2 linked regions of the Sus scrofa genome follow. The protein of the gene in region 1 binds, or shares a complex with, the protein of each later gene. Links are inferred from orthologs where the notes say so. Each region holds a gene or a part of one and is shown in the gene's direction. Other genes may lie near its edges.

The links. Proteins that work in one complex are often made in the same cells at the same time.
Region 2: the proteins of TLK2 (region 1) and ASF1A are in contact, whole or in part, in a crystal structure (PDB 7LO0), measured with the Homo sapiens proteins. The link is inferred for Sus scrofa from reciprocal best matches to the Homo sapiens genes TLK2 and ASF1A. Residues at the interface, in NP_001271262.1 of Homo sapiens: Arg11, Arg12, Gln13, Leu15, Leu16, Glu17, Arg19, Phe20, Thr21, Gly22, Val23; in NP_054753.1 of Homo sapiens: Val45, Ala48, Glu49, Glu51, Asp54, Asp88, Val92, Thr93, Val94, Leu96, Arg108, Gly110, Tyr111, Tyr112, Arg145, Thr147, Phe149.

The regions. Positions count from the first base shown.
Region 1 is NC_010454.4:16,252,857-16,258,590, reverse strand, and holds the start of TLK2 (serine/threonine-protein kinase tousled-like 2), read left to right. Parts: upstream 1-1,948; 5' UTR 1,949-2,323; exon of another isoform or gene 2,324-2,615; coding exon of another isoform or gene 2,616-3,572; intron 3,573-3,744; exon of another isoform or gene 3,745-3,847; intron 3,848-5,338; 5' UTR 5,339-5,343; coding exon 5,344-5,424; intron 5,425-5,734. Other genes in the region: uncharacterized protein LOC110256160, read right to left, coding at 2,616-3,572. UniProt on the Homo sapiens protein: Serine/threonine-protein kinase involved in the process of chromatin assembly and probably also DNA replication, transcription, repair, and chromosome segregation. Phosphorylates the chromatin assembly factors ASF1A and ASF1B.
Region 2 is NC_010443.5:43,201,690-43,206,467, reverse strand, and holds part of ASF1A (histone chaperone ASF1A), read left to right. Parts: intron 1-2,896; coding exon 2,897-3,073; intron 3,074-4,357; coding exon 4,358-4,570; 3' UTR 4,571-4,778. UniProt on the Homo sapiens protein: Histone chaperone that facilitates histone deposition and histone exchange and removal during nucleosome assembly and disassembly.

The DNA.
Region 1 (5,734 bases):
GTAGCACTGGGAACTATGTCTGGTCACTTAAGATGGAGCATGATAATGTGAGAAAAAAGAAGGTATACATGTATGTTTAACTGGATCACCATGCTGTACAGTAGAAAATTGACAGAACTCTGTAAACCAGCTATAATGGAAAAAAAATTATTTAAAAAAAACCCCTCCATTCTCAAGGGTAAAGGAAGAAGATTAAACAGACCAGATGCCTTTTACATTTTCCTCTACTCACCTACTCCCACCCCAAATGTAATGCTTTCTTTAAGAGACGTCAAGGGAGTTCCCATTGTGGCTCAACAAGTAACAAACCCGACTAGCATTCCTGAGGACTCAGGTTCAATCCCTGGGCTTGCTCAGTGGGTTAAGGATCCAGCGCTGCTGTGAGCTGTGGTGTAGGTCGAAGATGTGGCTTGGATCCTGCATTGCTGTGGCTGTGGTGTAGGCCGGCAGCTGTAACTTCGATGTGGGTTCGTTAACCGTTGAGCCATGAAGGGAACTCCAGCCTGTGACCTACTGTGACCTGCAGAGAACAGCTTGGGGACACCAGAACTAGTCTGAGGCATGTCTGGCCGGCTCCCTGGTCTGCTCTGTGACTACAAACATGAGCCTGGAGGACTTGTCATTCGCTACCCTGAAGGCAGAGAGGACCAGATGATCAGCGTGCACATCTTCTAGATGAATCCGCCTTTGAGCTCTCTGAAGGGAACTGGGCCTTTGCATGGTAAATGTCACCATTTGCCAGTCCATGACCAGCTGAGTCTCACAAAGTTGCCCCGTGACCAAACACACTTTAAATGAGTTGGTTCATGAATCCAAGTTTAAATCACTTTGTGAAAAGAACCATCTGACAGTAACAGTTTATTTTGAAATTATCCATTGTTTTTTCCCCTCACTTTGATATTTTCACTTATAGAATGCTCATAAATAGAAGCACTCCATTTTTGTGGTAAGCAAATTCATTAAATTCCTATGAGCAATTCCAATTGGGATGAGTTAAGTCTGGAGTCGGGCTGTGGTCAGACCTATGACAGCGTAAGTTCTCTGACATGCAGAGAAGAATGCATTGGACAAAGTGAAACTTAAAATCTCATCTTTTCCTGTATTCCAATGATTTATTTTTTAAAGTTATTTCAAAAAATGGGGGGTGGGAGGTGGAATCATAGCCTTTTAGACCCACAAAGGAGTTTCAAATCCTCTAGTCCAAACTCCTTCATAGATGAGGTTGGTGAAGCTTGAAAAGTGTAGGTAACGGGACCAAGTAGCTTGTCTGAGGAGAAGCTGGGCTGGAACTCTGCTCTGACTCTGTCCAGTGTTCTCTTAAACTCTTCTCTCCTCATTTGAAACATTCCAGTGTCATTTTACTTTACAAAGGAGTTACTTTCTTCATCACTCACCATAGGGCAGAACTTGCCTCACTTGCTTTTCTTTTTGTGTAAGCAAGGGTAAGGGAAGGTGCACTCTCTACTTCTTGGTTCTCCTGCTCTCGATAGTTGTCCACCAGGCTGTCCTCCTCCTTCCCTCTGCCTGGAGCTTGCACTCCCCCTCCCTTGCAAACACTGTTATCTTTGGAAATATGTGTGTGCACGGCCCAACCTGGCCGTGGGATTTGAAGCAAGGTGACTCTTGGTTGAGTGGTGTTTCCATAGTCCTTGAATTTGCCCAAGGGCTTGGAAGGCTGGACAACTAACAAAAAATAAACTGCCATCCTTTGCCCTTTCAGTAGGTCTGTGTTCCATTAACACAGAATGGACAGAATTAAGAATAAGGAAGAAAAAAAGGCAGAAACAGGTACTTCACTTGAAGTACTTGCCTACCCCCCAGAAAAGTTCAAGGCTCTTGTTCATTATCTGAATTTTCCGCTTGTGATTCGCTTGTAGTCCTTAACTCATCTTCAGATTAAGGAAGCATCAGAGGAGAATAAAAAGTTGGGTATTTGCCTTGAAGTCAGTGTCCCGGCTCATATACAATCGGTGAATGTGATTTCTTTCCTCTAGTGCTGGGTGATCAGAGTGGGAGCCTTTTCCAGTGCAGAAAGCCTTCTGGCTGCCGCAGCTCCTGCGCCCTTTCACACTGCCCATTCCTCAGAAGACACTGTGAGGGGCAGGCCTGTTTTCTCCAACCTAGCACTTCCCCTTAGAGCCCCTTAGTACCCAGGAGGGCCTTGTTTTTAATCAGAGGTTGAAATGGAACCTCCCCCAGGGCGTACGGAGAGAGTCCCTTTGGGGCAGCGCCCCCCCTTCCGCAGGGCCGCATCCTGGTGGGGGTGGGGGCTCAGCCTTGATCCCAGGGCACCTCTAGTCCCTGGAGACGTCCAGCCAACCAGGTACGTGGAGGGGAAACGCTGTCCGCTGTCGATGGCGGCATATGTGGGTTTGGGGAGCAGGACTGTGGGGTTGGAGAGCGGCGGGGCGTGGGAGCTAGGCAACACCGGTGGGCACAGCCAACTCACTAACTGGGCGTCTCCGGGGAAGTTCGGGCGGGGTTTGCTGGCTCATGGGCTTTCTTCCTCTAAAATCCATCCTGGGCAGAGCAACCCCGCTTCTCACCCAAACTCGTGGAGACCAGGGATTAGGCGGACGCCGGGCTCTGGGAGGCGGGTCGGGGAAGCAACCAGCTCAGGCGGCGAGGGCCCTCCCACGCCGGTCCGCGACCCAGGGTGCCGGCCCACCCGCCTCGACTGGGGCCAGTTCCGCGGGGCGGGGGCCGACCTTACGAAAACGGCGGCGGGGGCTCTGGGACTCCGGCCCGGGCCGGTCCGACTCCCCTCGCGTCGCAGCCACTCTGGCTGGAGCGCTTGCCTGCCCGCCCTCAGCCGCCCGGCGAGGCAGCGGCCTCCTCTGCCGGCGCGGGGTCCCCTGGTTAACCCCTGCCCGCCAACCCGGCCGCTGATTGGAGGAGGCGGGGCGCCGGGGCAGCGGGGACCCCCCCCACCTTCCTCTTCCCCTCCCCCTCCTCCCCCACTGTCGGCGCTTCCCCCACCCCCCCAGGACCCCCCCGCCTCCCAGCCGTGCAAATCTCGCGAGGAAACACGCGGTTTCACTAGTGTGTTTACACCGATCACTACTAATCCGGACCGAACCGATCCGGATTAAGGGGCCGGAGGCGGGTCTTGGGCACCAGCGGTTCCGACCCCCCCGCCCTCCACGCCGCACCCGAGTGGCCCCTAGTCGAGCGGGCCCCCACCTCCCGACCGGGCCTGGGCTCTTCTGCGCCTCCCTTGGCCTTTGTCCGGCGCCAGGAGGCCGGTCCCGCGCCCCCCGCGGCCTCCCGGGCCCGGGCCCGCGTCGGGCGCCTGGCTCTGTACGCGAGCCCGGGGATCTGCGGCCTCCGAGGCCCCCCTCCCCCGCCCGCCCTCTCGTGGAGCCCGGCGCCGGCGGCGGCTGCCCGGGCGGGGGGTTGCGGCGCTCAGGAGAGGCCCCGGCTCCGCCCCGGGCCTGCCCAGGGGGAGTGCAGAGCGGTCCGCAGCCGGGTCGGGTCGGGGCCCCTCCCGGGAGGAGCGTGGAGCGGCGGCGGCGGCGGCGGCAGGTGAGAGGCTGAGCCCCGGGCGGGGGAGGGCGCCAGGCCTGAGGCATTAACCGTCCGGGCGACCCCCTCGGCTGAGGAGGTTGCGGCCCAGGCCCACCCGAGGGCCGGCGCCGGGCCGCAGCTTCTCGGCGCGGAGGCGGGAGGGGCTTCCCGAGGGCTGCGGGTCGCCGAGGGGCCGGGCCGAAGATGGGGGAGGCCCAAGCGGCCCCGGCCTGGGAGTGGGGCCGGCGGCCGGCGGGAAGAGGGGGGCGCCCCGGCAGCTGGAGGCCCCGGCAGCCTCCCGGGCGCCCCCGAGAGCTGGCCCGCCCTCCCTCCGTGACAGGTGGGCCTGGAGTTGGGGAAAGTTTGGAACCGGCGGGAGGCGAGGGGCGCCGGGACCAGGCCCCATCGGCCCTGCTTCTCGGCTGTGGGCTGCAGGGAGGATTCCAGTCCAAGGCCCCGCTGGAATGAGACAGTGTGGATCTTTCCTTAACATGAGTTGACATTAAATGGAATAACCGCTGGGGCGTCATTTTCCGGGCCAGGCCTGGGGATGGAGGTTTAGGAAATGTGCCGAGAGACCCTGGGGCTTGAGGGAGGCTTCAACCTCTGCCATTCCGGCCTCGATTAGGGCAGGGCGAGACTCGGAAGGCCACTTAGGGGAAACACTTTGAATCTCCTTTTTTTCTTTCCTTTTTCTTTTTGTTTTTCTTTTTAAAGATGCCTTTTTACCCTTCCGAAAATTTCCTTATTCTCTCTCTAATCTGCACTTGTTTGTGTGGGTGAAACTTTAATTTGCTACCCTTTTCATTCCCCTTTGCCCCAGGCTCTCAATCCAGGAAGGGAAATGAAACTGGAGGACTTTGTAGGGGTTGTTACTGGAAATTGTGGAGTTGTTAGATTGCAGAGGAGAATGTTGAATTCATGTTTTCAGGGAACTTTTCTATCATGCCAGTCATTCCAGTAGCTAATGATATGTTCGGAGGGGTTCTATGTAATGGTATATGCTCCTTTTCCACTTTTAACATTAGAAAGGTTTCCAATGGGTTCCGCAGGAGTTGATCTCTTGCAAACGATGGAGGTATTTGCTGAGAGTTAGCCTGTGCATTAATTGGTCATGGAAGGAGTTTAAAAATGGTGTCCTTCTGCCCCTCCCTGCTTGGAAGGAGTGCTAAAAGCAGATGTCTAGAGAAACCTACTGCTCCAGGGAGTGGCACATTTTGTAAAGGGATGGTTATGAAGCTACACTAATTTCCTGAGTGAATGCAGGTTATGGTTTTACCATGGGATCTCTATTAAATTTGGAATAATTAATTCCCTTTTTCATGAGCAACTGTGGGCTCCTCAGAGGAAGGAGGTATATAAAAGCGTTATTTGAAGTTATTTGTAGCTTCTGATTCATGCTGTATTATTTTGAAGTTATTATTAATGATTCATATTTTTAGGTTAAGAATTAGTTCCTGTGTGTTTGGGAAAAAAATATCTGAAAGTACTTACCTAAATTCAAAGATTGATAGAAAAAATTTTCTTTTATAAGCTGGTTCTTGCTCAACTCTTACAGCCATTCTGTGAAGGACTGGAGGGGTTTTTTTGCTGTTTAAATCAAATCTGAACTAGATAAAATAAGTGACCCTCAGAAGAGGACTTTTGAGCCACTTTACAACTTTAAATGTATTATTTAATATGCTCATTGTAGTTTTTCACTTGTATGTTATATTTACTGGAGGTTAACCTGATGTGACCACTCAACAAAATAGTGAGTTTTGTTATATCTAAAAATGGGTTCCTCATATTTTAACTTTTATGTTCTCACAGCCTACTTTTTCTTTTTCAGTAGAAATGATGGAAGAATTGCATAGCCTGGACCCCCGAAGGCAGGAATTATTAGAGGCCAGGTTTACTGGAGTTGGTGTTAGTAAGGTAAGTAAAACGATGGTAATGACCACTGATCATAGTCTCTTTTAAACACATTTAAAAACGTACGTGCAGTTTGGGTGGACCATACGGATACATTGAAGGGGAAAAGACTTGATTCATGGTTCCAGTGAACTTTTAAATCCTCCCAGTGGTTCCAGTCCGTTAGCAGTACATTTGAAGGTATCTCTATGGGAGTATATGCTTTTCCCCTTCTCATATGGGAGAGGTTTCCCATGGGTCTGTTCCGAGGATACTAACAGGATATATCTAGATTCTATGCCACTTTTTGTCAAAACTCCTTAGACATGCAGAA
Region 2 (4,778 bases), on another chromosome or scaffold:
ATTGAACGTGCAACCTCAAATTTCCTAGTTGGATTCATTCCATGACAGGAACTCCCTTTTAGCGTCCTGAAATTGTTATATAAAGAAGTAGTATTTGCTTTGACCCACAAGCCTGGAGAACCTGTAATTCACAGGTAGTAATTCATGATGTAAGAAACTTAATTGGGGATGTAGTGATATACCTTTTGATGCTGCTAGAAGTGTTGCAAATAAATGCCATGTTTTTGAAAAAGCCCTTAAAGAATCTCTTCTATGTGTTTAAGGATACTCCTCAGCTTTTGCCTTGGAGTGTTGTAGGAAAAATATTATTCAAAATTATTTCCCTCTGGTGATTTTCCAGTGATTTTTTTTACCTTGGTATCTGTGCAGATGTTGCCAAAAGTACAGAGGAAGTTGTGTGTGATTTAGATCATATGTTCAGCTTATGCATTTTTTAAAATTCACCATTATCAGCAGAAAGGGACTAAAATAGTTTTTGTTTCATGTTTTTAAACAAACTACCATAGTATTCTCCTATTCTTCCATGACTTTAACTCTCAGGATGAACATGCGTTTCTCCTGAGTGTGTAAAGAGGCTAGCAGGAAGGTGCCTGGACATCTAACTAGTATTGCTTGTTGGAGTGAAAAATCTCTGCTTATCACTTCTCCATCCTAAATGATCTGAGACGTCTGCAAATTCTCTCCTTGAATTTGCTCAAGCTGCATCCTTTAGCAAACAAATTTTAAAACACAAACAAGCCTCGGACGAGTTTGTTGAGCAGATGGGAAGCAATATGGGGGGAAAGTTCCCACCGTACTGAACTAACTCTATTTCCCATCTCTACCCAAAGACAGATAGCATATTCTCAGGACAGGCCCTCTGTCCCCATTCTGGTATCTCTCCAGAGGTCATAAACCATGTCAGGGTAGGAACTGAGTTCTGAATGAATTTCAGAATACAAATACTCTGTCCCTAGAGCTATGCCAGACTTGTGATTACAAAGATGAACTGGATAGGACTCCTGCCCAGGATAAAGCCTAGAATCTCAGAGAAGATTGAAGGGTAACATATTTAGATTGTTAGACATACATTAGTAGAGAATTTGTGTCAAGTAATATGAGTGCATAAAGAGTGCTATTAATTATACCTTTGAATTAGAAAGGGTTTTGCCGAGAGGCATATATTTGATGAAAGCTTCAGAAGATGAATTTTTCAGAATGTTAGGAAAGGACCTTTCAGGCCAAGGGAACAGTATATGCTAGACAGGAAAGACTATCACTACATTTTAAAGAACCTACATTTCTAGAAGAAGAGATGTGGCGTAAAAGGGGTGTGGTATTGGTTGGAGACCAGTTGTAAAGGGCCTTAGAAGCGTTAAAGAAGTGAAATTTTTATCTCAGAATCTGAGGTTTTAAAACCTGGTGAAGGGATAGGAATGGATCTGGGTTTAGATGGCTGCTGTATAAATTGGCTAGAGCTGGGGGAGAGCAGTAGGGAAGCTTTGGTAATATTCCAGATAAGAGATGAAGACTTGGATTATGCTTTGAGATGACAGATGTCAAGACTCACTAGACGTTTTTAGTCTAGGTGACTAGGTAGATGATTTATGCCTTTTTAGGTCCCCTACATGTAGTAGGTATATAGCAGTCACTAGTCTGTTACGAAAATGGCTTGACTGAGAAGGCCAGCCAGGAGCCTTCCCAAGCTAAGGCATTGGCTGAAGTCTTTACCCAGGCTTGTCCCGTGGATGTGCTTTGGTGCCCTAGTAAGAGTAAGCCGATCTGCTGGGGCTTCAAGCACCTACCACTGAGAATGGCTCTTTGGGTTGTGCTCAGATGCCTCACTGTCACTGCCTGTCCCGTCTGTGCCTCCTTCCAACCAGTGTCCTCACTGTCTTGCCCATGGCTATGGACAGGGCCCCCGTGCTGCTCATGCTCTCAGCCACCTCTAGCTCACTTGCCTCACCTCCTGCCTTTGTCACAGTTCAGCTTACAGCAGTTTGATTCAGAACAGGATCATTGATTACCTCTGCCTAAAACAAACTTTACCATCAGTGAATTTCCATAGTATATGTGATTTAGTATTTTTTGACAATCTGCTATACTATGTAACTATTTCCATTCCATTTTCAGTTTTACATTAATTTACTATGAGAATATCTGTGAGGGTTGGGTGAGTGGGTGTGAGAATGTGTCCTGGGAAATTGGACAATCAACATTTGCTGCCAAAAGGCTGTGTGGAGGATAATTGAATATTTACTAATTTAGATCTGAAAATTATGACTAGGAAGGGTTGGAATCAATAAGACTATTGATTTGTTTACTGTATTTTATAAAAGGTTTTATAATTGAATATTGTATAATTCCTCATGAACCACCATAGACTGTATGTAGCCAGATTTATTTTCTTCTAGAAGTAGTGATGTTTTCAAGTACCCAGGGTACTTCAGTATACTGTGGAGAAACATGAACTATGTTTTCTAGCTATAATCAGTCTCGAAAATGAACATGTGGAGTTCCCGTCGTAGCATAGCAGAAACACGTCCAATTAGGAACCATGAGGTTGCAGGTTCAATCCCTGGCCTCACTCATTGGGTTAAGGATCTGGCGTTGCCGTGAGCTGTGGTGTAGGTCACAGACGTAGCTTGGATCCTGTGTTGCTGTGGCTGTGGTGTAGGCTGGCAGCTACAGCTCCGACTGGACCCCTAACCTGGGAACCTCCATATGCCATGGGTGTGGCCCTAAAAAGCCAAAAAAAAAAAAAAAAGTGAACATGTGCCTTCTCAGGATGATTTCTAAGTTTTTGGTTACTGTGCCCCTAACCGAAGGTGCTCAGTGTTTTAACCAGAACTCCAGTTTTGCTTGCAGTGAATAGCCTCCTGTGATGTGTATTTCTTTTCTTTTTAAATTATTCTAGGCTGATGCACCTAATCCAGGACTCATTCCAGATGCAGATGCAGTAGGTGTAACAGTTGTGCTAATTACATGCACCTATCGAGGTCAAGAATTTATTAGAGTTGGTTATTATGTAAATAATGAATACACCGAGACAGAATTAAGGGAAAATCCGCCTGTAAAACCAGACTTTTCTAAGGTAATGTATTGATTATTACTTTCATTAATTTTACAATGCAATGTTTTAAGCAGTTGCCATTTCAAAGTACACTATGAAAGTGGCTTTGAGACAAAATAAATTTGAGGTCATTGTACCAACTGAGCAAACTAATCATTGTTCCATTACCATGTATGACCTCAAACCATACCTTCAGATTAGACATTACTGATTAATATTGACTAGGCACCTTGAGAGTCTCTGATGATTTAGAAAATTGAAAGCACCTCCTATTAGAAACAGGCCTTTGTTAATGGCTCCCTGAATGGAATTTCCCATACATCATGAATCTATCCATTTCAATTTTTAGGACATTCACATTCATGTTTGTTGTACTGATTATTCAATTAACATTTTTGTGTGTTAACTCTTCCCAAAATTGGGGGGTGGGGTTGTGTTTGTTTTTTGTATGAGCATTTTTATCTCAGTATACCTATATGTTTGCTTTATCTGTTATTCTTAGAGGTGAAACTAAAGGTCTTAAATACTTCTGGTGGTAAAACAGCTTAGCTTCTGAGAGGGAAGGTGAAGTCTGTGATTTAGTATTCTCAAAAATACTGGGGACTTTATGATTTTCTATTGGGAACTGTAATAGTTTAGTAACTGGTGTTCTTTGTGAGATTGAACATAACCCTCTGCCAGACCACGCAAGAAAAATTACATGGGAGTAGAATGGAATGTTCTCCTTTCTGGTAATAAGGCTGGAATGTTTTGTATTCTGATGAGAGGAACCTTCCATTTCTAATTTATTAGTTACCTGTATGACTCCTTGTACAGCAAAAAGGAGAAACCAGAGTACTGTTTCTAAGAAGGAGCCATAATAATTAAAAGGTAGAAAACCATTAATAATGAGAGGTTATATTTGGAAAAATTTTTCATTTTCCTTGGAAATTTTACTGAAGAAACACAACATCAAGCTAGAAAGCATGTTAATTTGTTAAATAAAGTTTCCTCTGAAGCATTCAAGAGATATGCTTCCTTTTAGGAAACAAGTATAGAGTTGGATGTTATGTTGGATTAAGAAAAAGATCTGGATAATTCCCTCAGGTCCTCCATATCTAGTTTCCTTTAGGCTAGAGTAATTTCCTTGCTGCAGCCCTGGTCCTTATTTATTAGTTATGTTTAAGGTGCTTTGACTTTTGCCTCTGTATGTGAACTTAGTCCTTAGGAGTACTAAATAAAGAACCATTCTTATTAAGGTCTATTTGTATATAGTTATCTAACTTTCTTAGCGTTTACCATTTATATGTTTCCTTCTTCCTGTAGCTTCAAAGGAATATTTTGGCATCAAATCCCCGAGTCACAAGATTCCACATTAACTGGGAAGATAACACAGAGAAACTGGAAGATCCAGAGAGCAGTAATCCAAATCTACAATCACTTCTTTCAACAGATGCATTACCTTCAGCATCAAAGGGATGGTCCACGTCAGAAAACTCACTAAATGTCATGTTAGAATCCCACATGGACTGCATGTGACCACCCGCCATCCCTTTAGTACAAATTAAGCTATTAAAACACACAGAACTATTTCCCTGAAATTCCGTAAGTACATAGTCAAGATACAATGTGAAGAATTTGTTTTAAAACATCCTGTAGAAAGTTTATAAGAAAACCAGTATTTGAGCAAATTGTGGAATATAAATACAACTATTTTTAAGTAATTTTTTTCTCTAATGTGTTATTT